Rattus norvegicus: one gene and its partners. The main gene of each other region encodes a partner of the protein of the gene in region 3 in a complex. Links are inferred from orthologs where the notes say so. Each region holds a gene or a part of one and is shown on either strand. Other genes may lie near its edges. The genes, in order: Arhgef12, Sema4d and Plxnb1.

Region 1 (9,373 bases), about 66 Mb from region 3:
AAATAAAAATTTGTTTTCTTCTCTCCCAAAGCCCAACTATCCACAGAACAGACAACAACAAGGGATACACCCATTTTCAAGTGCCTGCCATTTAGTGTACTGAGGACTCTTGTTTCCTGGGGTGGAACCCTAGAGCTGTGTCATCCACACACAGGAGTCATGCGGCACCTCTGAGATGACCCTCAGGAAGGCAGCCTTCTGGACAGGAGGGCGGGGTTACAGGTTAGTGAGGGCCAGGTAGTCCTCTTTCCTCTTCTGCATTGCCTGTCTACTAACCTCTCCATCCCTGACCGACCTGACCTTGGCTTCAGGAACAATTGATCCTTGGGTGTGCTAAATACAAAGGGCAAAAACTCTCACTACTCAATTAAAAACAAAACAAGGCAAAGTAAAAATTAAAGTGTGCTTTCAAATATGGAATGAAGTCAAATAAATACATCTGATTTTCTCTTTTTCTTACCTACGTACAATTTCATATCCTACACCCAAAGCTCTATACATTTGGTTTTTATTCTGAATCAAAATGCATTTCTGATAGTGAGGAGAGGAGAGTGAGAGACCTGACATTCCCTCACTGACAGATGTGTGCAGCTGCCAGAATGAAGAACTAGTCCCACTGGGGGCACCCTGGGGCGTGGCTGAGCCCAGGTGGTTCCAGGCAGATCCTCTGTCACACTCTCTTTGTGTCCACTGGAGCCGGGATGTGGTTGATACAGGGCCGACATTCAAAATCCAAAACCTGCAGTCACCTCCAGGACACGGGGCTCTAACTTTTATCTGAGAAGGAAGAAGACGTGGAAACTCAATTAAGAGCAAATTAACATTGTGAAGAACATGTCTTGTTCACTTCTTCAGAGATCACTTGTTCAGAGATGTAACCTCAAAGCACACAAGCAGAGAGTATGAACTGAACACCGGCTTAGCCTCAGCCAGGGGCCACGCTGCCCTTAGTGTCAGGAGGGCAGAGTGCAACAGGGCTCCTGGGGGGAGAAGGGGCAGCGGTAGCAGCCTGGGTTCTACTGAGTTTGGGGTTTACCAGGCTCCTTCACTCTGCCTTCAGCTTGGAAAGGCGAAGAGAGAGACAAGGGTTGGCACAGGGACTGACAACCACAGCTCTTCTGAGAGCAAGAAGAGCAGAGTTAGCAAACTTGATACGTGATGCTTAGAAACAAGCTGATTTTTAAGGACAGGAATAAAATCTCGGGTTTTCATGTTGAAAAATAATAAATTATCCAATGTACTGTTGGTCGGGATGAGCCCACCATTTCACATACCTGAGACCTTGTCGGGGAGGGCTGAGCCAGCCAGCCTTTGGCAAAGAAGGGTGTAACTTTCCTCCACCTTCTGTAACACCAAAGATTTCCATGGGGATGGCACAAGGAAATAAAATTTAGTTGATGGTAGGAATGAAAGTTCTCCTTGTTAAAGGCACGTGACCCCCAATTTCGACATTAACAATAACCACTAAAGATTCTGTTAGCTAGGAGAGGCCAATTTCCTTTGAATAAGTGACCTACCTCTCCACGTAAAACACTGGGGAAGCAAGGGAAGGTGGTCTGCTCACGGCAGACGTCACCCAGGAAAGGCCCATATCATGTGACAGATGAACACAGAGGCCGCCTAGATACCCTGCCTTGCTAGCCACATAATGACATATGTGAAATTAAACGAAAAAAAAAAAAATCTGTTACATGGAGCTGAGAAAAGCTAAGGGAGACAAGCCCTGAGCTAAGGGGCCTTTTTTAGCCCTGACTGATGCCATGAAGAAGAGGAAGCTCTGGCAGCTGCGTCGTCCAGAGCCGATGCCTTTACCTCACTTTCCCTGGTTCTACACTACGGTCTCCAATTTTATGTTGTTACGGAGTGTGTGTGTGTGTGTGTGTGTGTGTGTGTGTGTGTGTGAGAGAGAGAGAGAGAGAGAGAGAGAGAGAGAGAGAGAGAGAGATATGCTTTTTCTTTTTAGTTGTTGTTATTGTTGGATTTTATTCTGGTTCATTTGTCTTTTTTGACTTGCTTACATGTTTAGTAAAGAGAAAGAAAAAGGGCACAGAGCTGAACAGGTGGGGAGGTGGGAAGGGTCTGGGAGAAATTGGGAGACGGGGAAGAACCATGATCAGAAGATATTGCATGAAAATAATATATTTTCAATTAAAAAAAAAAGAGTCCCCTTCATAAAAACTAGCACAGTAATGTCTTTCACTACCAATTCCCAAAAGCTTCATTTGGGCTCACGTGTTTTGGTGACAAAAGCCACTGGAATCAATTTTTCCCTGCCATGTACCTGTAACTGACTGACGGGCTACAACAGTCACAGCACTTCCTGGCCTTGGTTCCCAGCTGAGAGCCTGCCCACCTCAGTCCGCATCACCCACAGGATGGAAAAGACTGCCCCGGCATTTGGGATCTTAAAACGTGGAGACCCAAAACCAGGAACCAGGTACAAACCTACAATGTTCCTGTTCTTACGATCTGTCACAAGACAAACGTCAACGCCAGCTTTCACTCAGGCCTATTCATGATTAATGGTTAAAGAAGATGAAAACGGGCAGATACAGAACCCAGACCACCTTTGGACACAGGATCCCATCAATCCAAACTTGTACTCTGCCAACTGTGTTCTTAGGACCAAGGGTTCGGAGGCTGAAATGGGACGTACCTTTAAGTGTTCCAGGTCAGCCTCTATTTTATGAATGTACTCCAGGATTTGGCTTTGTGAATCTGTCCAAGCAGAGGGACTCTGGACCTCAGAGCAAGCATCCTCCACAGCTCTCCAGCGTCGCTGGACCAGGAATTCTGGGGTGGATGGTGAAATCGCCCCCTCGGAAATGGCATTCTGAGGGGAGTGTTGCTGCTGGTGGCTGGAGTCCACAGAAGGGAGGCCTGTCACAGGCTGCAGGGTGAATGAGGAGGCAATCTCCTCATCTGTGGAGCTCTCCTGCACTGCATCATAGCCATCAAGGATCAAACAGTTTCCTATTGGTTGACATAAGACAGTTCGATGAGATTAGCACTGCCACCAGAGTGAGGCCAGAATGACAACTTGAAAAGCTACCATGGTGGAGGAACCGTCAACTCTCCAGTTTAGTTTTAACTCTACCAGAATTTACTTCGGATTAAAGCCAATCTTAGCGAACTTTCACAGTAATTTCTAAATAACTTCATATTAGTCAGAGTTTTAAGAGTCTAACACCTTAGCCACAAAGTCCTTACATGAACATGAATACCACTCCCCTGCCAAACACCCTTTCCTGGGCTGCTTTCTCCTCCCCGCACTCCCTGACTACAGAAGCATGCTCTGCAGTGCTCGCTGCCGCACACTGTACCCAGCTATCCACACAGCCTTTCCTGCACTTCAGCTCCTGCTCAGACCGGCCACCATGTCTGCTCTCACTACTCTCTACCCTGGCTGCAGCTGGCCTTACTTGCTTCCTAAAGCTTCTGACCATCTGACGTTTATCACTCACTTTTTTATTTACCATCCCTCTTTCCCCTCAGGCACTTAAGCTTCTTGGGAACAATGACATTTCTGGCATTTTTCACTGTCCAATCTCCCAGCCCCTATGACAGTTTCTGGCAAAGAATAGACTATTGGTTGTATAAAGAAACACACACACACACACACACACACACACACACACACACACACACACACACACACCCCTGAGATACTGAAGCGACCTCCATCCCAGCATATAAGACAGTTTCCATGACCACAATCGAAGTTGAACGTCACTTGCCTGAGATGCGCACATTAACATCCTCCTCTTCCTTTCTGACTGCGCCATCACCTTCAGATGGATTATCATCGCTATGTGCTTCACGGGCATCAAAAAAGTGCTCTCCACTGTCATCCAGACCCCCCTCTGGCTCTGCAGTAGTAGGCACCTCTGGGGTCAGGAGCATGTGGTCCATTTCTATGATGTTGCTTGCCTGGCTGTCTTGGGAAGCCAGTATCACCGAATCCTGTACAGCACAGGACTCAGTTGAAGTCCGTGGACTGTCACAAGTTGCAACATCACCAGTTCCAGTTTTAAAAGACATCTGTCCTTCCCCGGCATGACAAGCCTTAACACTTTCCAAGTCCGGAATGCCACTGTCCGCCTGTGCCTCTTCAGAAGCCGGTCTGTATCTTGAGAAGGACCGCCAGTCTTCCTGAGTAGTCTTCTCCGTGAGCCCCAACTGCTGAACCAGCAACTGCTTCAACAAGCCCACTGGAGATTTAGGGCAGGAAGGGGAGAAGAGGGGGAAAGTGAAATCTGGCAGCTGAGTTTCCAATCCCCTCTAAAACTAAGGACACATCTTAATATTAATCCTACACAATCATTTTTTGCCTTGAAACATGCAATCAAAAATCTATCTTCTACACACTTAACATTAAAATACGGCTGACAAGAGTCGTGCATTTTGAATAGGAGGCCTTCTCCGAGAAGTCCCAAATCTATCTGACATCAAGCATGTGCTCTGCTTCAGCTGGGCCAGCAAATACTTTTCTCCTCAAGAGCAGACTCTGTATTTACAGGCATTATTTTTTCTAACATTTTCTCTCAATGGTGAAGGCAATGAAATTGTACAGGAAATCCCAATGATATGGTAGTAGTTTGTGTAAGTTCCAAGGTAAGTATTCATTAGGTTTTTGTTTGTTTAAATTACCTTACTAATGGCATGGCTTCTTTAGGATGTTAAAACTAAGATCCAATTTACCCTTGGGCTAGTCTTAGGCCAAACATCTACAGATCATGTCAGTTCTAGGACCAAGCCATCAAACTACCAGACATCAGTAAGTCTGTCTCCTCAGGAGAATGCAGAATAAAGGAGATTTTAAATAACTATAACTGCCTGATTCTACCACAGGCTTACCTTCTGTTTCTCCAACAAAGAGCTGGGGTCTAAGAAAACCTTCCCCTTTCTCAAGCACTTTAATCTCTACCCCAAATGCTAGCCCTAAAACTTCATGTCCCACTACCACTTCCCTGGGATGGTTTGCCACTCCTCATCTGGAGCTCCTAGTCCACACTGTAGAGGAAAGGCGGTGAGGGAGGCAGGATGCACAGTGGTCTGTGTGGCTCTTACTTCCTAGGAAAGCACTTAAACTGTCAGCAGACACCCCTTTCCTCTGCCTCAGCATCCACAGAGGTCAGCTGCTCTCAGGATGGAGAGCTCCTTATGCAGTGCTTGTTCTAGCCTGAACCTAACGACTGCAAGAGCTGACTGTGTAAGGACGCTACTCCAAGCCTCTTTCCATCCAAATCTCCGAGCAGCTCTCAGTCACATTAATACATTTTTGTCCGTCAGTCATAACTACCTTTAAAAAACCTCACGTGGTTCTCTGTAGCTGGAGCAACTATTCTTGGACTTTCTCTACCTCAGTGTATCTGCGAGATGTGCTATCCTCCTGTCTGTAATAGTGGTTCCCAACAAAGCTGGAGGAGGTAGGGAGGGGCAGCAAACAAGGGGTGTGTGTGTGTGCACATGGGCGCATGCATGTTAGAAGCTGTCAGAGGAATATTCAATCTCCATACAAAATGCAGGGCATGTGTAATATAAAACTAAAACAGCTCCTAAGAGCCCTGGCGTCTCTGTCCATCAAACACGGTATTTAGAACTCCCAACACTGAGACTTCTCAGCTCATCTTCCTGACTCCTAAACCTGTCTCCTGTGCTCGTCAGCTGACAGTGTGCACAGGCTCACTGCCTGGAGCGCGCTGTGGTCCTGCCCTACCAACAGTTCCGTCTGAACGGCTTTATTCTGCACATTTCTCCTGATCTTAATCGTACTCAAACGACAGGCATATGTCCTTCTGCTTCCACCTGCTGCTTCCCTTCTCTGACCACGCCACCCAGATAGATTTGACACATGCACAAAAGCCTCACTATTCCTGGAATATTTGCTTTTAAAGTGGCAGTGGGGACCCATCATCTTCCCAACAAGACTGTAAATTTCTTGAGGAAAAAAAAATGATAGGTTAGACTTTTGTGTATTTTCCATAAAAATGCATTGCTTTTTCTCTCTAAAGGTTTCCCAAAACATCATATGACTCTGGTACTTAGTAGCTTCACAAGTTATGAAAAAACTTACAATTTCTCAGTGCGTCCAATGCCCACCGCTCCTCTGACACGGGCAAGTGTGGATCTGAGATTGTGACTGGATACCCGCCATCACCTTCCTTGAAGGTCCCATTTGCATGCTGCTCCTTTGCAAACTGTGTTGCGGTCACAAAGAGATGTTCTGCCTCTGATTTGCCAGGGGTATTCATTGAATGGGACTGAGGTTTTGACGAAATTAAGGGAGATTCTAATCCCAAAACTCTGTCTGTTCAGTGGAGCAGAAAACGTAGATTATTCCTAAACAGACATCTCATTTTCAACATGGAACATTTATGTCGGGGGCAGAGGGAAACCACAAAAGCTACAGGCATCATCCGCTGGGGAGACACACAGCACAGAGCAGTGCTATGCTGGCACATGGGAGGCTCAGAGGCAGCATGTGCTGACATGCATGGTTGGGGCCGGCACAGAGACTTCCTTTTAATAGGTAACGTGTTACACCCAGTGTACTCGTCTATGTGGCTTACCTGGACTCTGCAGACCAGCGACAGAAAGATCATGGTGCTCCACTTTTAACTTGGCTGGTTCTTCTTCATCATTGTCTCCTCTATAAAAAGAGGAAAAAGAAAACAATCCCGGAGCTTTAGAAGATGCTCAAACGTCATGGCATTCAAGTGAACTGCTCACGTCTTCCCGACAGGAGCATAATGGCACTCACTCGCAAGGTGGCGGCTGTGGGAGGGGAATCGGCTTTGTGGACTGCTCCTTCACTGATGCGGCCATCCGACAGATGAGGTCTTGCCAGCTTCAGGGGGTGTGAAAGAGATGCAGAGCACAGGAGGGAAGCAGGACACCCAGTAAATACTCTCAGAACCAAAGAGAGAATACAAAACCAAACACCGTGTGCTGCCAGAGCACATCTTTAGTTTGGCACACTCTTGTTGGGATCCTAAAATATACTTTAAAGAAAATCCAACATGAACACATTACCCATTTAGAAGATTAACTTGGAACTTCCAAAATTTACTTTTAAGTAGAATAAAATAAAAATGAAAACTTCAATCTCAAAAGAAACAAATTCTTAGAGGAATGTTCCCAAAAGGATACAAGAGGAAGTACTTTATTTCTTATAATAGAAAGTCTGTGGGCTGAATGGTGGCTCAGTGGTGAGAGCCTGCTGCAGTTGCAGTGGATGGCCATTCGTTCAGTTCCCAGCACCCACCCAGCGAGCTCACAACCACCTGTAACATCGGCTCCAGAGGCTCTGATAGCCTCCTCTTCTGGCTTCCGCAGGCAGCTACACCTACACACACACACACACACACACACACACTCACACACACACATACATACACACGCACACACACTGAAATAAATCTTAAGAAAACAAGTATGTGGAACATTTATTTTTCAGATAATTCAGTATCAATTAGAAAGGGTAATTAAATCTGATACATACACCGTCTTTTCAGAAACCGTCTGTGCTACCAATTCATAAATTTGGGCTCCATTATCTGACATGGAGATGACGAATAAAGCTTTGTTATCTAGAAAAGAAGAAAACAAAACTTACTCTACTACTGTGGCCAAGCCATGACCATACAGGCATTAACATTCTGCATCTTAATTTAGATAAAAATTATGTATGTTCACTTTGAAAAGCTTGACCAAGTTTATAAACTTAAATTTTATGCAATTTACTGTAAACTACATTGTAACTTAAATAATGTTTACAAAAGTCAACACAGAACTTAATTAGAAACAAAAATAAGTCAAAGTTCAAATTACTTGAACTCTAGGGATTGAAGTGAAGAGAGATCATGTTAATTTGGGACAGAAAAGCAAGGGAGGGAGGGGATAAGGGAGAAAAGTAGGGACATGAATAGAAAGTTGATCTAGTCAAAACTTGACATTATAGACATACATGAAATTCTCAAACAATAAACATAACTGACTTCATAAAAGTTCTGTCCTGTAAAAACTAAGTCCTGCCCAAGCATAACATGCTTTGGAGTTCTAACAAGCCTATAATTCTGAATGAAAATGTTTATATGAACACACACACACACACACACACACACACACACACACACACACACCTATACTACTGAACCCAATTCTATCCCTTGTTTTAAACTGCTATATTTCTATATTGTTAAGAATGTTTGGGAAACACTGCAGGAAAGCATTTGCAAATTTTGCTGTCATGAAATTAAGTTGTATAAAGGAGCTCATCAGAATACAGTTAAACTGTGGCTTACCAACTTAGACTGATAGATAAAAAATCAGAAAACAAATTCAGGGCTGGAAAAATGGTTCAATAGTTAAGAGCCCTAGGTTCCAACACCCACATGGCAACTCTGTTTACTCCAGTTTTAGGGGAGCCCATGCCTTCTTCTGGCCTCCAAGGGCATCAGACTTGCACATGGTACCCAGACATATATGCAGCCAAAACACCCATACACATAAAATAAAATTAAATTAAAACAAAATAGTCAATTCCCCCACCTCTTCAATTTTCACGGTTTTCCAGCACACAAACACACCATTCACTGGCAGCCATGTCACTGGGTTACCCCTAAAGCACTCACAGCTTTCTTGGTACTTACCATCAATTTAAACATAAAACAAATACCAAAGTAATTGATGTACTTAAACTTTTAAATGCAGAAAACCAGTGAGGCAACCTTGCTGTCTCAAATAATTTGGAGGTGTAAACTTCCAATAGACAATTCCATTCACATTTCCACGTATAAACAAAACCATGGGTGAAATTCCTGCACAGCTTCGCACTGAATCCACAGCTGAGCTCGCATCCCGTGGCAGAGCTCGCATCTAGCGGCAGCCGCGCTCACCTGTGGCCACCTGTCGGACCAGCACTGTGCTGAGCTTAATGACAGGACTGAAGGTGTGCTTGCTGTCAGCTGTGGAGGCCAGGATCTTGCTGTGGCACCTCAGTACCAGCCTGTCGTCCTGCTTCTGTAACAGCACAAGAATGTCTTCCAGCAGCAGTGTATACAGATCTGGAAATAAACACGGACAAACTGCTAAGTACAGAGATTTAAAGTAATCCACAAAGGAAATTATTTCTGGAAAACCTAGCTAACTTTAAAAAACAGATTTACAAACTATCTTCTTTAAATTTCATTTTTAATTGTTCATTTTAGTATGTTTCATGGGAGCATCATCTAAGAGTTGCAAGAATTAAAAAATGCTCCCTCACTGCAAGAACCTGAAAGATACTAGCTTATAGATAGAGAACTCCAAGGTTCACCAGTAGATAGATGATGGAAATATGGCTGAAGCATGACAGTTTTCTGCTGTGTTC
Region 2 (9,992 bases), on a different chromosome or scaffold from region 3:
AGGGGCGCACTGCACCGTGAGCCAGGCTCTGCAACGTGAACTCTATCTCTGAGGTCCACGGGCAGAACAGGTGCCAGGAATGACTTTAGCTCTGTCCCTAATAGATGGTCAGCCTGTCTCTGGCGACCAAACAAAGCCAAGACCAAACCAGAGCTGACCCTCAAATTGTACCGGGGAACCCACTACAAATGGCCATGTAGTTACCCTAGCTGAACACACACCGTTCATTTCTGATGGCCATCTCACCAAAACAGACGTTGTACAGGCTCCTTCGGCCTTCCTGGGGACCCCACCCTATACTCTTGTCGCCAGCACGGAACTAGAAATAGCGACTAGCAGGGTCTAAGAGAGAGAGGCTGGACCCAAGGGGACGGCCAAGTGTGCATCCCCGAGGGCCCGGTGGGAAAACAAAGATGACAATTTGGAACCTACGTGCTATTTTAAGAGAGCAGTGCTTAGAGTGCATGGGCTATAGCCTGAAATGATCTCAAACTGGAAAAGGATTTTTTTGTTGTTGTTGTTGTTATTGTCTGTCCCCCCCAACAACTGTTTTCAAATGGACGGGGTATCATTCACAGGAGGGCTCCCTACCAAGTTCACTGTGGGTCCCCACGTGCGCGCTGCGGTGTAAAGCATCCGCTCACTGGCTACACAGACTGCCTGCAGCAGTCATCCCATCATAACGCCTGCCTGCCTGCCTCAGATCCCCAGTTAACACCCCAATTAGAGACCAGCAGGGGCGGTGAAAAGTGCTTAGTGAGCATTCGGCCAAGAAAGTTTAACTTAGAAAAAACAAACTGTGAGCGGCTGTTTGAATCTTTGTTTTTGAAATCAGCTAAGAACTGACAAACTCTGCCATCGCTGAGCCACCGAGATCGTTATCAGTGACAACCTGGCTCTTGTGATCTAAAAACATTTGTGATCTTAAAAAAAAAAAAAAAAAAAAACACCTGGGACGTTTGTGGGGCACCAGGTGGGCACAAGAGGGTACCCAGAGCTCCTGAGAAAAGGGATACAAGGCTCAGTCTCCCGGAGTGGGCACACGGATATCCGAAAACAAAATTCAAAAACAAAACAAAAACAGAACAAACCAAATAAAACAACAAAACAAAACAAAACCAAGCAACAACAACACACCGTTCATTTCTGATGCCCATCAAATCCCTGAAACCTCTTAGGCCTCACACGGCTGGTGCAGATGTGTGAGAGGCCCAGAAACACAGAGGGGAGGCCAATTTCACACCAGGTCCTAGCGGGCAGCAGAAACTACAGGACGTATCCTGTAGTCACAATGCCAGGCCATTTGAACAGGCTTCTCCAGAGCTGAGGAGACAGAGCACTGGCCCGAGAGCATCCATCCTGACGCCGGGGCTCAGGGAGAGCTGCCACAGGACCGAGCCCACCAGAATCACGTGACACCAGGTGGGCATGCAGAAAGAAGTCACAGTACTGGGAAAGATCCAAATAACTGCGAAATGTGCGTGTGCGCGGGCGAGCTCTTTGTGCTCACCTGCTTTGATTTCCCCTTCTCTGCGCACTTGGATTTTTTGTCTTCAGAGACCTTCCAGTATACCTGTGAGGGGGGAACATGTCAGAGCCGGTTCACTGCAGCCCCACTGGGAAAGGAACTGCTATAAAACAGACAACAGAAGGCACCCCACAGCTCAGGGCACACTGGTTTGCAGCCAGAAGAAAGCCAGACTAGGAAGACAAGACGTTCAGGGAGCGGGTAGGGGCTGAGATCTCAGAGTCATCCCTAGGGCTTCCTCATGTTCTGTGACCATCATCCCTAAACCAGCAGGGATAACACAGCCCTGAGCTTGTGACAAAACAGCAGAGGGCAGGAGAGACAGGCGGCTCAGTGGGTGCTTGCCAGTTAGCACGAGGACCTCAATTTGAGCCCCACAACTCATGTGAAAAGGTCAGCTGTGGCACTGGACATTGGGGAGGCAGAGACAGGAGGATCCTTGTGGCTTGCTGGCTGCCAGCCTATTTGACAAGCTCCAGAGACCAAGAGACCACGTCTCAAAAAAAAAAAAAAATTAAATAAAAGTAGACAGCACCAAAGGAAAGACGCCCAAGGTTGTCATCCTATGATCCCTGACTCCATATAATAAAAGTATAACCAATTAAATCCTATCCAAAATCGGGGGCTTTCATCTGTTATTTTGCATTTCTATCACATTTTTACTATGTGTAGATGTGGACGTGTGAGTGTGCACAAGGGAGGTGCAAGGACAGCTTGTGGGAGTTATCTTTGTGTGTGTGTGTGTGTGTGTATGCGTGTGTGTGTGTGTGATATGTGGTGTGTATGTGTGTGTGGTATGGTGTGTATATGTGGTGTGTATGTGTGTGTGGCATGATGTGTATGTGTGTGTGTGTGGTATGTGGAGGTGAGTGGGTAGTATGTGGTATGTATATGTGTGTGTATGTGTGTGTGGTATGTGTGTGTATGTGTGTGGTGTGTGTGTATATGTGTGTGGTGTGTGTGTGTGGTGTGTGGTATGTGTGTATGTGTGGGGTGTGTGTGGTATGTGTGTATGTGTGTGTATGTGTGTGTGTGGGGTATGTGTCTGTCTGTGTGTGTGTGGTATGTGGTGTGTGTTGGGAGGAGCGGGGATTGAACTCAGATCATCAGGCTTTGTGGCACATGTCTTTACCTGTTGAGCCATCCCTTCAGACCCTTCTCGACCTAATTTTTCTCCTGACAGTTTGACACATGCACAGAATGAATTTTAGTCATTTTCAGCCTCAGTTACTCTCTCCTCCTTTTAAAGGGGACCAGATAGCATACTACTCAACACAGCTCTGACATAGCATAGAAAGAGCCTAGCTGAGCTTCCTGGTGGAGGTCGAGCCAGACCTGTGCAGACTGGGAATGGGGGGGGGGGGAAGGGCGTGGGGAGATGGGGGACAGCAAGGCAGCCCCACCCACAGGGCTATGGCTGGGAAGTTGCAGGACATACCTCATGTTGCTTCTCAGAGATGTCCAGCGCATTCACTGCAAAGACAGCTTCCCGGGCACCCACATACAGAGTGTCTTTGTCTTCACTCATCAGCAAGGAAGAGTAGTTAAAGATGCCTGGCTCGTGAAACTTCACCAGACCTACCTCTGTGGGCAGCAAAGCGGGGAGGGGGAAACCCAGGAGTCACCCTGAGCCTGTACGCACCCGGTCCCACCTCACTGTCAGAACCAGACTTGTCCTAGGGACCGCATGATGCTGCTAAACATGGAGCAGAGCTCAGGACCCCCAGGTAATCTCAATGCAGCCACCAAGTGCAAGAGAGGAGCTAGCCCATGGCTGGGGCCCTGAGGCTGGCAGGCATCCCTAGGCTATACCCCGATCTCCTTTTCTGTCTCCCAGGTCCTGTGGAGTTCCAGACCCCTCACACCAGGCTTCCAGCACATCACAGACACTTGATTCGGTGGCTTGAATATGCAAGGCCCAGGAAGTGGCACTATTAGGAGGTGTGGCCTTTTTGGAGGAAGTTTGTCACTGTGGCTGTGGGCTTTAAAACCCTCATCCTAGCTGCCTGGAAGCCAGTATTCTGCTAGCAGCCTTCAGATGAAGATGTAGAACTCTCAGCTCCTCCTGCACCATGACTGTCTGGATGCTGCCGTGCTCCTGCCTTGATGATGATGGACTGAACCTCTGAACCTGTAAGCCAGCACCAATGAAACGCTGTCCTTACAAGAGTTGCCTTGGTCATGGTATCTGCTCACAGCAGTGGAAACCCTTACTAAGGCACCTGGTCTACACTCTACCTCTTTAATGTGTTTTTAACCCTCCACTTTAGGTTTAGAAAGATATAATGATTTAGAACTTCCAAAGAAAAGTCAAGATGGGAGAACACATGTCTCTCCAAAACAATCTCTAGTCATTACCAGTGATTTCCAGAGACAAACGACACTTTTTTTTTTGAACCTGCAACAGTTTAGGAACACGGTACCACGGGAAGGAAATAACGATACTAGTTGTCTAAGACAGGGTCTCGCTATGTGGCCCAGGCTGGCCTGGAACTCACGGCCCTCCTGCCTCTACATCTTGAGTGTGGAGGTTCCTGCTGTGATGCTGAGCTCCGCATTACGCTGGCATCAGTGAGTTCTGAACTTGCCTATGAGTATGAATCCCGAGTGTCCAGGTGGCTTTGAGGTGGGCATTCTTACTGCCCTTTACTTCCTGGACTCCATCCTCACACTGCTCCCTCCCTGGATCGTGGAACAGCCAGTGCCCACCCCACCCCACCCCACCCCAATCCTGGAGCCCTCTCTGAGGCTGTGGTAATCTCAGAAGTGCAGCTCAAGTGCCGGGCATGTAGTCAGCATCCAGTGAGCTAGGAGCTGCTGACGTCACATATCCTAACTCAAGTTTGGCACCTGCTGTGGGGCCTGAAGCAGCCACCAGGGCTTCCTCCTCACACAGTATCCTCCTGACATCTCAGCAGCTTAAACCTGCCCTGACAGACACCCCCCCCTACACACACACACACAACATCTAAAGCAGGGACCCCCACACTCTCCAGAGCTGCGGGCACTTACGGCTTTCACACTCACCTCCGTGCTCCCAGGTGATCCGAGGCACAGGGGCGAATGCCACCGCGGTCCTCCACACAGCCACCAGGGCCAAGAACAGCCCCCTGACGGGGGCACACATCTTCATGGGCAGGGGCCACCGAGGCCTTCAGCAACAGACACACATGAATGGCAGTGGGCTGCTGTGGTGTAGCAGCAGGAACCTCTCAGAGCCCCAGAGCTGGGGCCAGCAGCACAGACTGGAGCCCATAGGGAGTGGGGTTCTTGAGTCCCCACATGTCAGGTTAGCAAAGGCCACTTTTACAACCTCATGCCAAAGGCGTTGTTCCCTTCCGACCTGCAAGAGAAGGAAATGACGAGACGGTAGGTCACGGCAGCTTCAGAAGGCTCTCAGTCCCCTCCATCCCTTCCTACGGCCTATCCTGTCTGAACCTGCCCGCTGAGGGACATGGAAGGCATCCAGGACTTGTGGGGCTGCCAGCCAGCCAGATCCTGTAGAGAGACAACAAGGCTAAAACACACCAATATGGAAATAACTGGCTAGAGGGACAGCCAGGTGCTTGGTGACATGCCACAAGTGAAAGGAATAATATAGGTCTCAGTTTCCCTGGAGGGCTCTCTTCCCAATTTCTGACACGCTAACCCAGGAAAATTATCAAACATCAGAGGATTGCAGGACAGGGCGCGTGCCTGAGAATGCATGTAAGAATGTACATGCATGGGTAGACACACACAAGTGCGTGTAGCCATACACAAATGCACACATGTACATACATACATATATACATACATACATACACACATATGTAATGTAAGCACACACTAACCTTCATACCCTTGAAAACATGCCCTCAGGGCCTCAGTTTGCAGGAGTAGCTAGCCACAACAAAGGACCCAGCTAGCCCAGGAGGCAACCCGAGCTCTTCCTGTCTCACCAGGAAGACGTTAATTACCATGGAAACACTAGCAATTAACTCTGATTTGTCCAAACAAGAAACAGAAGACCAGACCAGGCTTGGCTGTCTGATGGAATTGTGGCCATGGGTCTCTTGGGCCTCTGTCCCTGTCCTCACCTGCCCCCGTCAAGCCTGAGGCCCAGCACACACCAGGATCCCAGGATGCAGAGCTCAGCGCTGAATCACACCAGCTGCCCTGATACACAGATAGGCCTCACCTTCGGGTGTGGTTACTGGGAGCTGACAGGGCACAACAGTCTCCAGATGTGGACCCAATGCTGGCACAGCATCTACCCACCTGCCAGGCCTCCCCTGCCCCACCCTTCCTCCCACAGAGGGCAGGGCCAGCTGTTCTTGCATCTCCACTCAGGGCCCTATCCTTTCCTGTCTTCAAGTGCAGTCCTGACAGGCTGTCTGGCTGCTATCCCAATGGATCTTGGAAGCTTCTTAAAGAGCCCAAGCCCCTCCATCCTTCAAGGAGTGGAATATTCTAGGCCAGTGCAGCTGACCGTTTTCCTTAACTATTGCTATAGCTGAAAAGCAGGTACAGGTGACATGCAAAGAGGTGACTCCAGTTATAGGCAATGGTTTAACAAGGGTAGGTCTGGTCCCTGTCCTACCCTGGAAATTCACAGCAGCCAAGCACAAGGGGTGACTCCTACCCGGATCCAACCAGAAAGCAGGAAGCCAAGAACTGAGGCAGTGACTGGGAAACAGACAGCAGTGACCCAGACAATTATGAACTCTGGGTTTTGCTGAGCAAGTTCATGGTGCACCCTGCCACGTAAGAGCCATGAGAATCCTCTTAAAGCCATGGTCACCAACTCCCTCCAACACTGAGCATCCACAGTGCTAAGGAAAGCCAGGACAGCAATGTCACCCTGATCTTAAGCATCCCCTGGGTACAGAGCCACTGGTGACACAGGCCTAAGCCCAGAAGACCCTGGGCTTGGCAGAAACTGAAGATGACTGGAACAAGGGAGCTGTGACAGGCAGGAGGCCCTCTGATTTGGGTGCACGCGGTTCCAGCTGTGAGGATCAGGTAGCATGGGATGGATGCTTCTTCCCTCCTCAGATCGCCCTGATGGAAGCAGAGGATGGGGAGAACAGAGAAGGCTGAACACCAGGCAAGGTCGCCAGCCAAGGTCGTGCAGGTAGGGGAGTCGCATTCCGCTGTGCAGCCCGCTTGAACATTTTTAATAAAACATCCCTTCAGGGCTGGGTAGATATCTCCGCTGGTGGAATGTTTGCTTCTAACGCGCAGAGCCCTGAGCTCAGTTCCCAGAACTTCATAAATCCTGGCACAGAGATACACCAGCAGGTGGAGGCAGAAGAAAGAGAAGTTCAGAGTTATCCTTAGCTACATAGTTTGAGGCCAGACTGGGCTACAGAAATAAAATTTAAAAATACAAAGCAGAAAGAAGGCCGTTCTTCCAAAATTAATTTGGTGGCAGTGCAGGCCTTTAATCATAAAACAGAGGGAGCTCTGTGAGTTCACTGCCAGTTTAGTCTACATATGAGTCCAGGCCAGCTAGGGCCACAACTGAAACTGTGTCTCAAATAGACAAACAAGCAGGCGTACCAGATGTGGCGGTGTACACCTTTAATCCCAGATCTCTGGGGAAGAGGCAGGCAGGTTTCTATCTACATAGTGAGTCCCAGGCCTGCCCCGGTTACACAGTGAGGTCCTGGCTCAAAATTTAATTATTTATTTTGTTAATTAACTAAAATTAATTAACAACAAACTAATTAATTAATTAAGTCCTGGTAAAGAAGTGGGGCATGGCCAAGTAAGACACCAAGAAAGAAGAGTCCAGAACCAGGGGCTAACAGACCAAAAGGGCTTTGGCCAACACCAGACCCAACACAGTGCCCTGAACCTGTGAGCTGGCAGACGCACAAAGCCGCTAGTCAGGATGCCCCACCATAAGGTGAAAGGGCAGGGGGTGGTTCACAGACTCGGTGACCCACGTAGCTGAGAAATACAGGAATGTACATGCTGGGCAGGGTGTAGAAGGGCTACCCCGAAAGTCCATCTTCAGCAGCAACAACACAGAACCCTAACCTCTTCCTTCTCAGAACTGTGAGTGTCACCAGACACACCCATCCCCAAGACCCAGGATGAAATGCTACACACTCCCTCACTTAGCCAAACACGTGGATGGGAGACCAAGGAAGGCACCGGACACTAGAAGCACGTTCACCCACCCAGCCTGGCCCCCTCCTGCCTCGGTGGCTTCTTGCTTCATTCTAGGTCACAAGACCTTGAGCTTTCTTCCTTCAGTGGGCAGACTGCCCCGTTCGACACATTTGTAGGCTACCCCGCTTCTAGCCAAAGAAATCTAAGTGGGAACTACGCGGAAACCATCCCACGAACTAGGCTAACTGTGATAATAAAAACACTAGCAGTCTGACCCTAAGCTCATCTCGATGTTGCGATCTGAAACGCAGACCAGAAGTCTGGAGGTCTAACAGCCCTTCGGTGAACATAAAAGAGTAAGGGTCTCATTCTATCCGCTGCAAAGGCTGGGCCCTGAGCAACGGGGCTAAGAAGCTGGGCCAGCCTCCTCCCTCAGTCTAAGAGTGAATGACCCAACACATTCAAAATGGAGCAATTAGAGCCCCAGGGGAAGAGAGGATGGCCCATAGTGGAAATGTCATCAGAATGTGCTATCCTGGCCCAGTGTGTATCCTCAGTCACTAAAGGGGATGAGGGTTTGGGGGAGGGGATGGTATACATTTACTAGGAGGGTAGGGTGGGAGGGTGGAGTTGCAAGACAAGGGGCCTCAGCTTGTGCCTGGAGTGAAAAAGTCAGGATACAAGGTTAAAACAATTCTTTAAGGAAAACAGTTTTTTAAAGATTTATTTATTTATTATATGTAAGTATACTGTAGCTGTCTTCAGACACATCAGAAGAGAGCAGGTCTCATTACAGATGGTTGTGAGCCACCATGTGGTTGCTGGGATTTGAACTCAGGACCTCTGGAAGAGCAGTCAGTGCTCTCAACCGCTGAGCCATCTCTCCAGCCCAGTGTCGTCTGACTGGGGTTGCCCTCAGATAGAAGGTATAAAATGCACCAGTTGGGGCTGGAGAGATGGCTCAGAGGTTAAGAGCAATTGTGGCTCTTGTAGATGGAAAACCTGCCTTCCTTCTCACAGCACCCACACGGCAGCTCACAACCATCTGAAACTCCAGTTCCAGGGGATCCCATGCCACCTCTGGCCTTCAGTGGTAGCCAGCAAACTTCTCTGCCAGTCTGGACTAAAAGTAGGAACTGTGGGGTTCACTGGGGCCCCGGGCTGAAGCACAGAACAAGCTCCGCCATGCTGTGCTCACTTCAGCTATGGGTTCCTGCCCTGCAGACCCAACCCCATCATCCAGAGCACAGTAATTTCATGGGCAGACACTAGAGGGCGATAGACTTGCCTACACCCTGCTACTCTTTAAAACAGGCCCCTGGGGACAGCAAGAGGCCAGAGAGGGAGAACTGAGAAGCAGAGGGAAGGGGGAGAAGACTGTTAGGCTTTGACTTCTTTTTCTCTTTTTCCTTTTTTTCTCTACACAACTCGCTGTTTGGTGTAATTTAAAACTCACTTTAAACAATGCGGCTGCCACACCCACACAGACAGGCTGCCACAGTGCCTTCCAGGAACGCTCCACAGGCATCCTCGAATGCCAAGTTCAGGACCTCACTCTCAGTGTTTAAATTTAAACAAAGGGATCCAACACCCTTCCCCCAGGGGAAGCTCAGGTCTCCCTGTGACAGCTGAGGCCCTCCAGAAGAGGGCCTGACATCCATTAGAGACAGGGTCATGAAGGCCCCATTACTACACTAAGAGGCAAGACTGCCTACTCTAAACCCAGGAAAAAGAGCTGAGGCCCCTCCCTGCAGCCTGTCAGAGGGCAGCTCTTCCCCTCCAGCAAATCTTGGAAATCTCAGCAGGGGCTGCAACTGAAAACAGGACCAACCCCAGCCAGGGCACCGTCAAAGAGTTGTGAGTACCCAGCTCAGGCCTGAGAATGCTAATGGCCTTAAGGGCCCTGTGTATGCTTGTGTTGAGTGTGCACACACACACACATTGTCCACACGGAGCTGTGTGCATCTGTGTCAGCGTATCAACCAGCGACACCACCCATGCACATGTGTGTGCACAGATGCCATGTGTGTCTATATGTATATGTACATGGGCACACCTGCAAAATGCTGAGTTAAATGTTATCTCTGTATGTAACAGCATAAATGCATGCATTCACATGTGCATACATACCTATGTATCTGCAGGTGTGTGCAAACACACAGGTCTACATGTTTGTGTGTGCGTGCATCTGCAGATATGCACCTAGATATCTCTCTCTCTCTCTCTCTCTCTCTCTCTCTCTCTCTTTCCCTCTCTCCCTCTCTCCCTCTGTGTGTGTGTGTGTGTGTGTGTGTGTACTGTGTCTTAGACTTAAGGCTCCTCTCTGGGACCTGACAGCGGGGACAGATCACAGAAGGGATAC
Region 3 (9,373 bases):
TTGCCAGCCCCAGGTCCTCTTTGCCGCCACAGCTTGTGAAAGTTCCTGTGGCCCCTTGTGCTCAGCACCTGGATTGCGACTCTTGCCTTGCTCACAGGGACCCTTATTGCGGATGGTGTGTGCTCCTGGGCAGGTTAGTGTTAGCCCGACCCAGGCTTGTGCCTCTGTAAGTGCCTCGTACAAGATTCCTCACCTTGTCCATTGACCCTCATCCTCTAGCCTGTGGGTAGCCAGCTCCCAGCTCTTTATCCCCTGCCCAGGGCTTTGGTCCACCATAACAGACGCAGGAGCACTGTTATCAACTCCGAGTGAGGGTTGTGCCCAGGGAGGGCCTCAGGACTAGAGGTGTGTCTGCTGTGTGAATTCTCGGTGGCTGCCAGCGGGTCACAGTTAGCTGCTGTTGCTTCTTAGGTGTAGTCGCCGGTCGGAGTGCTCAAGGGCCCAGGGCCCAGAGCAGTGGCTGTGGAGCTTCCAGTCGGAACTAGGCTGTCTTCGAGTGGTGGCCGTGAGCCCTGCCAACATTAGTCGGGGAGAGAGGAGGGAGGTGAGTGACCAGAGTGGACAGGGCCCCAGAGGGGAGAGCTGTGGAGATGGACGGATGGAGACCTTGGATTTTTTTGTGTCGTTGCATCAAATGCCACATGTCCTTGATTAGCCATTTCTCTTGGGCCTTGAATTTCTCTAATCTGCTATCAATCAAGGCGTTGGTAAGGGATGCCAGTGCCCTTACACGAGAGTCCCTAACCTACTATGCACTCGTGCCAAAGTGTGCCCTTGGCTTTCTCGGTAGGTTTTCCTGTCGGTGCCAGGCCTGCCATCTCTCTGGCCAGAGGAGTCATATTTCTGCTACTTTGGGGACCAACAGAGTCCTGCTCTACTGACCAGTTCTGGTGTGATGTGTCCCTCCCCAGACCCTAGTGAGGCTCCAGTGCTGCAGAGAGGAGCCGGTGGGTGAGAGAAGGGGCCAGCCCCGGACCTGGGAGCCCCACCCTGCTTCCATCTTGCTCTAAGAGGTCTTACTGGGATGAGAAATGACTCCAGAAATAGCCTTGGATGTGCTCCGAGTCCCCTGATTGGCTCCAGGACCCTGGTGTTTGTGCTGTGTCCCGTGGATTTTGTTCTCTGACCCTAGTTCCTGTCTCTATTTGGGGTGCCAGCCTCATTCCATGTGGATCCCCAGCCCTCCGCACTCTTCAGTTCTGGCTTTCTCCCCAACTTTGCAGACCATATCTCCGTGAATGTGGAGCTCAGGTTTGGTGCTGTGGTGATCGCCAACACCTCCCTCTCGTTCTATGACTGCATGGCGGTTACCGAGTTTTTCCCGTCTGCACCGTGAGTTCCTTAACTTACCTGTCCCCAGCTCTGGGCTCCCTTCTGTCAGTCTGTTTCATGACTGACTGACTGACTGACTGACTGACTGACTGACTGCACTGTATGCAGGTGCCGGGCCTGTGTGAGCAGCCGCTGGGGCTGTAACTGGTGTGTGTGGCAGCAGCTGTGTACGCACAAGGCCTCGTGTGACTCTGGGCCTATGGTGGCAAGCCAACAGGTTAGTGGGACTCCAGGATGAGGCACGTTGAGGGTGGAGCTCGGGGTTCCCGGGGCAAGGGTTTTCTACTGGCCTGGGATCTCTGTGCCTGCCAGCCTCCCACGAAGCTCTGTCCTGAGCACCCCAGCTGCTTTGTGTGGCAAATTCACTGGAGAATGGCTGCTTGTCCATCCCATCTGTTTTGGGAGGACATTTAAGCTGAGAGGCAAGAGGTGTGGCCTTGGTTCCCCACCTCAGCACAGACCTCCCCCCCCCCTGCCCTCTGTGTTTCTGCGTTAGAGAATTAACGGGATGTTTTTGTTTCTCTTTTCCTTGGTCTTTCTCCCTCTTAACATACCCTTGCCTGCCTGCTCCTGCACTTGCCTGCTGAGTGGCCCTCCTGTCTGTCTTGGCCTTCCCCTTCAGAGCCCACTTCTCCCCCTAATCCCTCCTGCAAGGGACGTACTCACCCCTTTCCCACTCACAGTCCCCAGAGCCACAGCCACTCCAACTCCCAACACCTTCCCAGCAGAGCCTAGGGCTCCCTCCATAGCCTCAGATGTCCTACCCGGGGCCAAGCCTTCCCGGCTCAGCCTCTGGGGCCCATGGGCAGGCCCTGGCCCCATACTTTCCCCTACCTCCACAGAGTCACCTCTCCATGAGAAGCCCCTCCCTCCTGAGCCCCCTACCACACCTGGAACCACTGTCCCTGCCCCCGCTGACCTGGGACCCTTGACCACGCCTGAGGACCTCTTGGCCTCCTACCCATTCCCCTCAGATGCAGCTGCAGTATCCCCCACAGAGCCTGGCCCTGAGACTCTGCCTTCCATGGTAGCTCTGGATCAGCCCCCTGGCACTGCTCCAGCCACCCTTTTCCCAGGGGCCACTGGCTCCATGAAGCCAGTTCTGGATTGGCTCACCAAAGGAGGCGGCGAGCTGCTCGAGGCGGAGGAGTGGATGGGGGGTGACACGCCCGCCTTCTCCACTTCCACACTCCTCTCAGGTGATGGCGACTCAGCAGAGCACGAGGGCCCTTCTGCTCCCCTCATCCTCCTGTCCAGCCTCGACTACCAGTACGACACCCCCGGGCTCTGGGAGCTGGTGAGGTCCAGCCCAGGAAGGAGGCCTCGGGAGGGGAGGGGAAGACACAGCCATTTGCTCACCCTGGGATTCTCCTTTGGGAGGGTGAGGACAGTGTTGCCATGGAGCCAAGCAAGGCAGAGGACTGAGGAGGTCAGGGTGGGAGCCACAGATGCCTCGCCCTTGGTGCCTGCAGGGAGAGGTGAATCAGAGGGTGAGCTCCTGCCCCTGTGTGGAGAACGTCCAAGGCTCCTTGCTGATACCGGTCCACGTGAAGCGGGAAGTCCAGCTTCGAGGCAGGAACCTGTGGCTCTTCCAGGTATGTTTGCCTATCCAGCTAACAACTTCCCCTTCAAGCTGCTTGGCTACTCAACAGAGTCTGCTCAGGTCTTAGAGAGCAGGAAGAAGCCATCCCCAGCCCCAGCTTTCTCTCCCGACTTGGGCTGCACTGTGGCAGGGCCTGTATTGCAGCCTACCTGAACATGTCCTCTGCCCCCAGGACGGCCCAAGGAGCAGTGAGTGTGTGCTGGTGCTGGAGGGCCTCGAGGTGGCAGTGGAGGCTCAGGTGGAGTGTGAGCCACCTCCAGACACATGGTGCCACATCAAGTGCCAGCAGCACCAGGTATGGAACATGCAGGGGTGGGCACAGGCCGGCCGTTAGCCTCAGATGCCGTGAACTTGTCGCAAGCTGAGCTTTGACAGTAGATGGAAGAACCCCAGCTGGGCCTCGTGGGGTCCCTGTCACTCGGCAGGGGGTTCTGTTCTCTAGTTCCATCACTGATCTCCTGCCCTTTCACCCTGGGATCCCTGAGTTCCAACTCTGACCTGAGACGCTGCTCCCCTAACTGGTCAATTTGGTCTTTTCTCTGAGCCTCACCCCAGGCCTGGCCCAGACTCGAAGCTCTGACTTCTCTCCTCTTTTTCCAGTTCAGCTATGAAGCTTCAAAGCCAGAACTCCAAGTGGGACTGTTCCTGCGCTGGGCGGGTGGTCTGCGTGTGGACAGTGCCGATGGGCTACATGGTAGGCCACCCAGGGACCACAGGGCAGGCTGCTGGTAGCGGGGCCCCTCGAGGCTCCGTGTTACATTTCGTCCCCGCTGTCTCCAGTGGTATTGTATGACTGCTCTGTGGGACATGGGGACTGCAGCCGCTGCCAAACGGCCATGCCTCAGTACGACTGTGTGTGGTGCGAGGGGGAGCACCCGCGCTGTGTAGCCCGAGAAGCCTGTAATGAAGCCGAGACCGTGGCTACCCAGTGCCCTGCACCTCTAATTCACTCGGTACGTCCCCTCTCTCCATCACTGCCACTCTTACAGGGAGGATGTCTGTGCCGTGGGTGCACAGAACTCAAGATGGGAGGCCGGGCTGCCTCAGACCACAGAGGCTGACAGGTAGGTGAGGTGAATGTTCTTGTCCTGGAACAGGTGGAGCCGCTGACTGGACCTATAGACGGAGGCACCCGTGTCACCATCAGGGGCTCCAACCTGGGCCAGCATGTCCAGGACGTCCTGGGCATGGTCAGAGTAGCAGGAGTGCCCTGTGCGGTCGATGTTGGCGAGTACGACGTCTCCAGTAGGTGAGCTGGTTGGCCCAACGTGGGAGGGCACTGGCTGCATGGCTTCCCATTGAGGACCTCCTTCCTCCATGCGTCTGCCTGCCTCTCTCCGTCTTTGATTGTGGTGTCAGTGCCTTAGTGCTGGGTTAGCATGGCCTGGAACTCTGGCTTGCTGTGTATATCTGCAGAGCCTTGACCCAGGCGCTTGGGGATCATGTTAGTGTATCGGGCAGAATCACTGCCTGGAGCCGGCTGGGGGCTCTTCTTGGATGTACTACGTCTCCAAGGCCTGCCCTGACTGGGCTCTCTCAGGAGAGGCAGTGGCGGCTGCCCTCCAGCAGGCCTCAGGTGAATAGAGAACATTCTCCAGGAGATGCTCATAACCAGCAGGACCCACACTGGCACAGTGTCAGGGTAACCCCGCACTGTACCCTCAGGAGGAGCTGTTGCAGAGCCCCATAATTCATATCTTAAACGGGGGATATTTTGTGGGAGCCTTCACTCTTCCTTCAGGGGTAACTGAGAACTTCCAGAACCTCTACACTGTTAAAATTCTAGAACCGTCAGACTTAGGTGATTCAGGAAGTGATTTATGAAGTGTAAAATGTATAATGGCTGGAGCCTCTCCCGCTAGTTCACCACTCGCTCTGCCTGCTGGTATTTGTATGACCGTGACAATGTTAACCACTGTAGACTTAACATTCTGGGAGTTCATGTGCCCCAGGCTTCTGTTTTCTGGCTGAGAACCAGCATTTTCTACATCTGTTCACATCTGCCTCCCTTCTGACTAGAGGCTTTTTAGGAATTTTCTGTTTAGGATCAGATTAAGTTCCCATCACTTCGCAAGTGGGCGCTGACCATACCGTGGTAGGGGAGACTTGGGGTGGCTGGTGTGGTCCTCTCACTCGCTCCTCTGCTTGACCACAAATCAGCTCTCCAGGTCTCCTTTGTAAACCTGTGTCACAGCAGGGAAATACACTCCTTGTTGGAGGGTGTGCCTGAATGACTGAACCAGGAGTGTGGCTTCTCGGATGCCATGGCTTGCCGGTGTGCCATAATGGGTTCCTTTCAAAGTGAGAGGGGGTGCTGACACATCTTATGGGGATAGGGACAGCAGAACACCTGGCAGTGTGGTGGGGAGAGGATCTGCCAGGTCTTTGGAAGGACATCCGCAGCCTGGCATTCCCTCACTTGCCTGTCTTGTGCCCACAGTCTTGTGTGCATCACTGGAAGCAGCGGGGAGGAGGTGACAGGCGCAGTGGCAGTGGAGGTACCTGGAAGAGGACACGGTGTCTCAGAGTTCAGCTTTGCCTATCAGGTGCCTGAATGCTAGACCACTCCAGCTGCCAGCAGGCCTCGCCCTCTGTGGACGGCTCAGGCTATTTAAGGCTTCATAAGGCTCCCCATCCTAGGGCTCCCTGTTTGTCTGAGGTGCCCTGGCTTCTGTCATCCTGATTTTGTCTGTCTTTCCCCATCTTTTTCCCCGTAGGACCCAAAAGTACTTTCCATCTTCCCAGTCCATGGCCCTAGAGCAGGAGGTACCCACCTCACCCTGCATGGTTCTAAGCTCCTGACTGGACGGCTAGAGGACATCCGTGTCGTGGTTGGAGACCAGCCTTGCCACTTGTAAGGGCTGATTTCTTTCTTTTTTTTTTTTTTTGGTTCTTTTTTTCGGAGCTGGGGACCGAACCCAGGGCCTTGCGCTTCCTAGGCAAGCGCTCTACCACTGAGCTAAATCCCCAACCCCCAAGGGCTGATTTCTTGTTCTACAAAATCCACACACGCCAGGGTGGAGATGGGGTACTGAGAACAGTCAGTGTGGAATGGGTTAATCTGCCCCACAAGAACATTTTAGCCAGAAACCAGGGCTGTGGTAGAAGTCCAGTTTCTGGAGCTACACAACGGGGACTTCGGTGGGCAAGGAACCTCAGTGAGCCAGATTCGAGCAGGTGCCTAGCTCCTGGATCTGGCCTATCTTCTACCCTCCACCCAGGCTCCTGGAGCAGCAGTCTGAGCAGCTACACTGTGAGACCAGCCCAAACCCTGTGCCTGCCGAACTCCCAGTGATGGTCTGGTTCGGAGCCACTGAACGGAGGCTTCAGCACAGCCAATTCAAGTACACAGCAGACCCCAACATCACCTCTGTGGGCCCCGCCAAGAGCTTCTTCAGGTGGGGGGCTGAAAGCATGTCTGGGAGGTCTTCGAAGTTCTCATCATAGGGGAGGTGGGGTGCTGGGAATGGGGACTTTGACCACCTTACTGTTGACCAAATGGGTCATGAGTGAAATTTGGGGTTGCAGCTGAGCTGGCTGGGTCTGAGCTATGCAAATCACACATGACTCCTGGGCTGTGTTTCAGTGGAGGACGAGAGATATGGGTCCGAGGCCAGAATCTGGATGTAGTACAGATGCCAAGAATCCGAGTGACTGTGATCCCAAGAGTACCACAGCATGGCCAGGGGCTTGGGCAGAAGCACCACGTGGTCCCTGAGAAAGTATGTGGGCCCAGAGCCATTGTCAATCAAATCGCATACCTATGAGCCTCTCTGCTCGCACCAGGCTGGCTATCTCTCCCCTCACCCAAGAACGGCCATGGGTTGTTGGTACCAAAGGAGATGCTTCCCAGCTTTGCTCAGCCTCACGTCTCACGCGGTGCCTCACTTGACCTCCTCTACAGATCGAAGAGCCATGTCTCGTGAACTCCTCCCACCTCATCATGTGCCGCTCGCCTGCCCTCCCTGGCCCGCCCCAGGACCCTTGGGTCCAGGTGGAGTTTATCCTTGACAACATGGTCTTTGACTTTGCTACACTGAGCCCCACACCCTTCTCCTATGAGGCTGATCCCACCCTGCGTTCCCTCAACCCCGAGGATCCCACCACGCCATTCCGGCACAAGCCAGGGAGTGTGTTCTCTGTGGAGGTAATACATCTTCTTGGGCTTTTCTCTAGGAGAACAGTATGTGTATGTTGGAGAGGTCAGGGTTGAAGGGACAAGCTGGGAGAATATGAAATGGTTGGTACAGCTTAGGAGCCAGCAGGCCCTGCAGGGGGTTGACTGGTGGCCTGGGTCCCTGGGCTCCATTAAGGCATCAGTTTGGTTAAGTAAATGGCTTGGCATATGGGTAGTGTGGTACACATTAGGTAACAGGCTGATCCTCATTTGGCAACTGGCCTACGTGGGTAACTCGAGACCCTTTTCATGATGTGCATGGTGAGTAGTCCGTGCATGTGTAGGCACATGGACAGGTCACAGGCAGCTGATCCAACAGCACCTCGATGAGGGTAACTCCGTTAACTGCCCAGGGTGTGGGGAACTCTTTTAGGTTCTCCAGCGTTTCAGCTGTGAGAAGAACGGTACTCGAGCACAAAGGAGTTATGGTGAGCAGACCATATGGTGAGCAGAGGTGGTCTAAAGGACACCTCTGACCATGGGGTCCACCCGCAGGGGAATCACGGCTAACAGATGGTCTCAGGGCCATCCCTCTCACGTTTGGGGACAGAGGCAAGAAACAAACCAGTGACCCGATGTTGCAGGGGGAGAATCTGGACCTTGCCATGTCTAAGGAAGAGGTGGTGGCCATGATCGGAGATGGCCCCTGCGTGGTGAAGACACTGACCCGGCACCACCTGTACTGCGAGCCCCCTGTGGAGCAGCCCCTGCCACATCACCATGCCCTCCGTGAGGCCCCCGACGCTCTGCCGGAGTTCACGGTCAGCGGGCAGGGCCTGGGCAAGGCTGGCACCATGATATCTGGGGCCCTGGCTCACGGGTAGCTTCCCACACAGGTACAGATGGGGAACCTGCGCTTCTCCCTGGGTCATGTGCAGTACGATGGCGAGAGCCCTGTGGCTTTTCCTGTGGCAGCCCAAGTGGGCTTGGGAGTGGGCGTGTCTCTCCTGGCTCTGGGGGTCATCGTCATTGTCCTCATCTACAGGTAGGGTTGGCCAGAGCTGAGAGCAGGGCTCTGCAAAGTGTGTGTGTGTGTGTGTGTGTGTGTGTGTGTGTGTGTGTGTGTGTGTGTGTGTGTAGAGATCTATTAAGATTTATTTTTATCTTATGTGCACTGGTGTTTGCCTGTATATACTTGTGTGTGAGGATGCCAAATCCCCAGAAACTGACAGTTGTGAGCTGTCGTGTGGATGCTGATAATTGAGAGCAGAAGCCACTAAGCCATCTCTCCAGTCCCACTCAGCAAATATTTTACATCAGGGATCGGACCTCTGGAAATGGTTGCAACAGGCCTGGTGGTCTCCAGCAATACTCAGTTCAGCTCTTGGGCCATCAAGTATAGCTGAGTTCTGACAACCCTGCTTTTAAAAATAGTTTGTGGACCCTATACAGCATGACCCGGGTTTGCTGACCCTATACAGCATGACCCGGGTTTGCTGACCCTCAGGCTGAGTGATGGATAGATGTGGTTTGATGGGAACGAGACAGGATGGATTGTTCTGGGTCAGGCTGACTTGGGCATGGTCAGGCAAGGTTGGGATTGGCCTGGAGTAGAGTTAAGCAGGCCTGAACCAAGTTGAGCCTAGAAAGGACTTTGGCCTGCTGACATTTCCCTTCTGCCTTGGTAGGAGGAAGAGCAAGCAGGCCCTGAGGGACTATAAAAAGGTGCAGATCCAGCTGGAGAATCTGGAGAGCAGTGTGCGGGACCGCTGTAAGAAGGAGTTTACAGGTGCGGCTTCTAGAGTGGGAGTAGCCTGGGGCTCTGCCTACAGCTGCCCTGCTCACATGGGATCCATGGACACTCTTCTACTCAACAGACCTCATGACGGAGATGACTGATCTCACCAGTGACCTCCTTGGCAGCGGCATCCCCTTCCTTGACTACAAAGTGTATGCTGAGAGGGTCTTCTTCCCTGGGCACCAGGAGTCACCCTTGCACAGGGACCTCGGTGTGCCTGACAGCAGGCGACCCACTGTGGAACAGGGGCTGGGGCAGCTCTCCAACCTGCTAAACAGCAAGCTCTTCCTTACCAAGGTGCGCTCCCAGCCTGGCTGCCCCATCCCTCTGTTCCTGCCTGCTGGCCTAGTCTCGCTGTCTGTTTCTGAACCTTCCCCCCTCTCACACTCTCCCTGGCCTTAGTTCATCCACACACTGGAGAGTCAGCGTACCTTCTCTGCTCGAGACCGTGCCTACGTGGCATCTCTGCTCACTGTTGCCCTTCACGGGAAGCTTGAGTACTTCACGGACATCCTCCGTACTC

What was found.
Region 1: the proteins of Plxnb1 (region 3) and Arhgef12 are in contact, whole or in part, in an NMR structure (PDB 2OS6), measured with the Homo sapiens proteins. The link is inferred for Rattus norvegicus from reciprocal best matches to the Homo sapiens genes PLXNB1 and ARHGEF12. Residues at the interface, in NP_001123554.1 of Homo sapiens: Glu2129, Lys2131, Val2132, Thr2133, Asp2134, Leu2135; in NP_056128.1 of Homo sapiens: Phe82, Gly83, Leu84, Thr85, Val86, Ser87, Gly88, Asp89, His127, Val131, Lys135.
Region 2: the proteins of Plxnb1 (region 3) and Sema4d are in contact, whole or in part, in a crystal structure (PDB 3OL2), measured with the Homo sapiens proteins. The link is inferred for Rattus norvegicus from reciprocal best matches to the Homo sapiens genes PLXNB1 and SEMA4D. Residues at the interface, in NP_001123554.1 of Homo sapiens: Leu80, Pro81, Pro82, Glu87, Arg136, Pro137, Gly138, Asp139, Thr140, Tyr142, Gly178, Glu202, Lys205, Ala207, Gly209, Arg210, Ser212, Glu213, Arg235, Arg242, Asp359, Val360, Asn361, Ser362, Leu367, Pro368, Thr371, Tyr375, Ser379, Asp380; in NP_001358123.1 of Homo sapiens: Glu99, Lys100, Gly101, Phe158, Tyr179, Phe181, Leu182, Gly183, Ser184, Arg198, Tyr201, Ile203, Glu208, Val240, Leu264, Arg265, Thr266, Leu267, Gln268, Lys270, Thr347, Gln350, Ser351, His352, Thr353, Asp388, Gln392, Lys395.

Annotation. Positions count from the first base shown.
Region 1 is NC_086026.1:52,250,037-52,259,409, forward strand, and holds part of Arhgef12 (rho guanine nucleotide exchange factor 12), read right to left. Parts: intron 9,069-9,373; coding exon 8,901-9,068; intron 7,593-8,900; coding exon 7,505-7,592; intron 6,851-7,504; coding exon 6,764-6,850; intron 6,653-6,763; coding exon 6,573-6,652; intron 6,311-6,572; coding exon 6,077-6,310; intron 4,212-6,076; coding exon 3,738-4,211; intron 2,974-3,737; coding exon 2,657-2,973; intron 1,345-2,656; coding exon 1,275-1,344; intron 778-1,274; coding exon 767-777; 3' UTR 1-766. UniProt on the Homo sapiens protein: May play a role in the regulation of RhoA GTPase by guanine nucleotide-binding alpha-12 (GNA12) and alpha-13 (GNA13). Acts as guanine nucleotide exchange factor (GEF) for RhoA GTPase and may act as GTPase-activating protein (GAP) for GNA12 and GNA13.
Region 2 is NC_086035.1:13,645,630-13,655,621, reverse strand, and holds the start of Sema4d (semaphorin-4D precursor), read right to left. Parts: upstream 4,842-9,992; 5' UTR 4,662-4,841; coding exon 4,556-4,661; intron 3,113-4,555; coding exon 2,967-3,112; intron 1,574-2,966; coding exon 1,511-1,573; intron 1-1,510. UniProt on the Homo sapiens protein: Cell surface receptor for PLXNB1 and PLXNB2 that plays an important role in cell-cell signaling. Regulates GABAergic synapse development. Promotes the development of inhibitory synapses in a PLXNB1-dependent manner.
Region 3 is NC_086026.1:118,630,463-118,639,835, forward strand, and holds part of Plxnb1 (plexin-B1 precursor), read left to right. Parts: intron 1-32; coding exon 33-133; intron 134-411; coding exon 412-544; intron 545-790; coding exon 791-947; exon of another isoform or gene 948-951; intron 952-1,223; coding exon 1,224-1,332; intron 1,333-1,440; coding exon 1,441-1,549; intron 1,550-1,954; coding exon 1,955-2,629; intron 2,630-2,804; coding exon 2,805-2,927; intron 2,928-3,107; coding exon 3,108-3,230; intron 3,231-3,535; coding exon 3,536-3,629; intron 3,630-3,715; coding exon 3,716-3,888; intron 3,889-4,032; coding exon 4,033-4,184; intron 4,185-5,375; coding exon 5,376-5,481; intron 5,482-5,652; coding exon 5,653-5,789; intron 5,790-6,156; coding exon 6,157-6,333; intron 6,334-6,521; coding exon 6,522-6,657; intron 6,658-6,839; coding exon 6,840-7,082; intron 7,083-7,696; coding exon 7,697-7,873; intron 7,874-7,948; coding exon 7,949-8,097; intron 8,098-8,740; coding exon 8,741-8,841; intron 8,842-8,929; and 3 more. UniProt on the Homo sapiens protein: Receptor for SEMA4D. Plays a role in GABAergic synapse development. Mediates SEMA4A- and SEMA4D-dependent inhibitory synapse development. Plays a role in RHOA activation and subsequent changes of the actin cytoskeleton.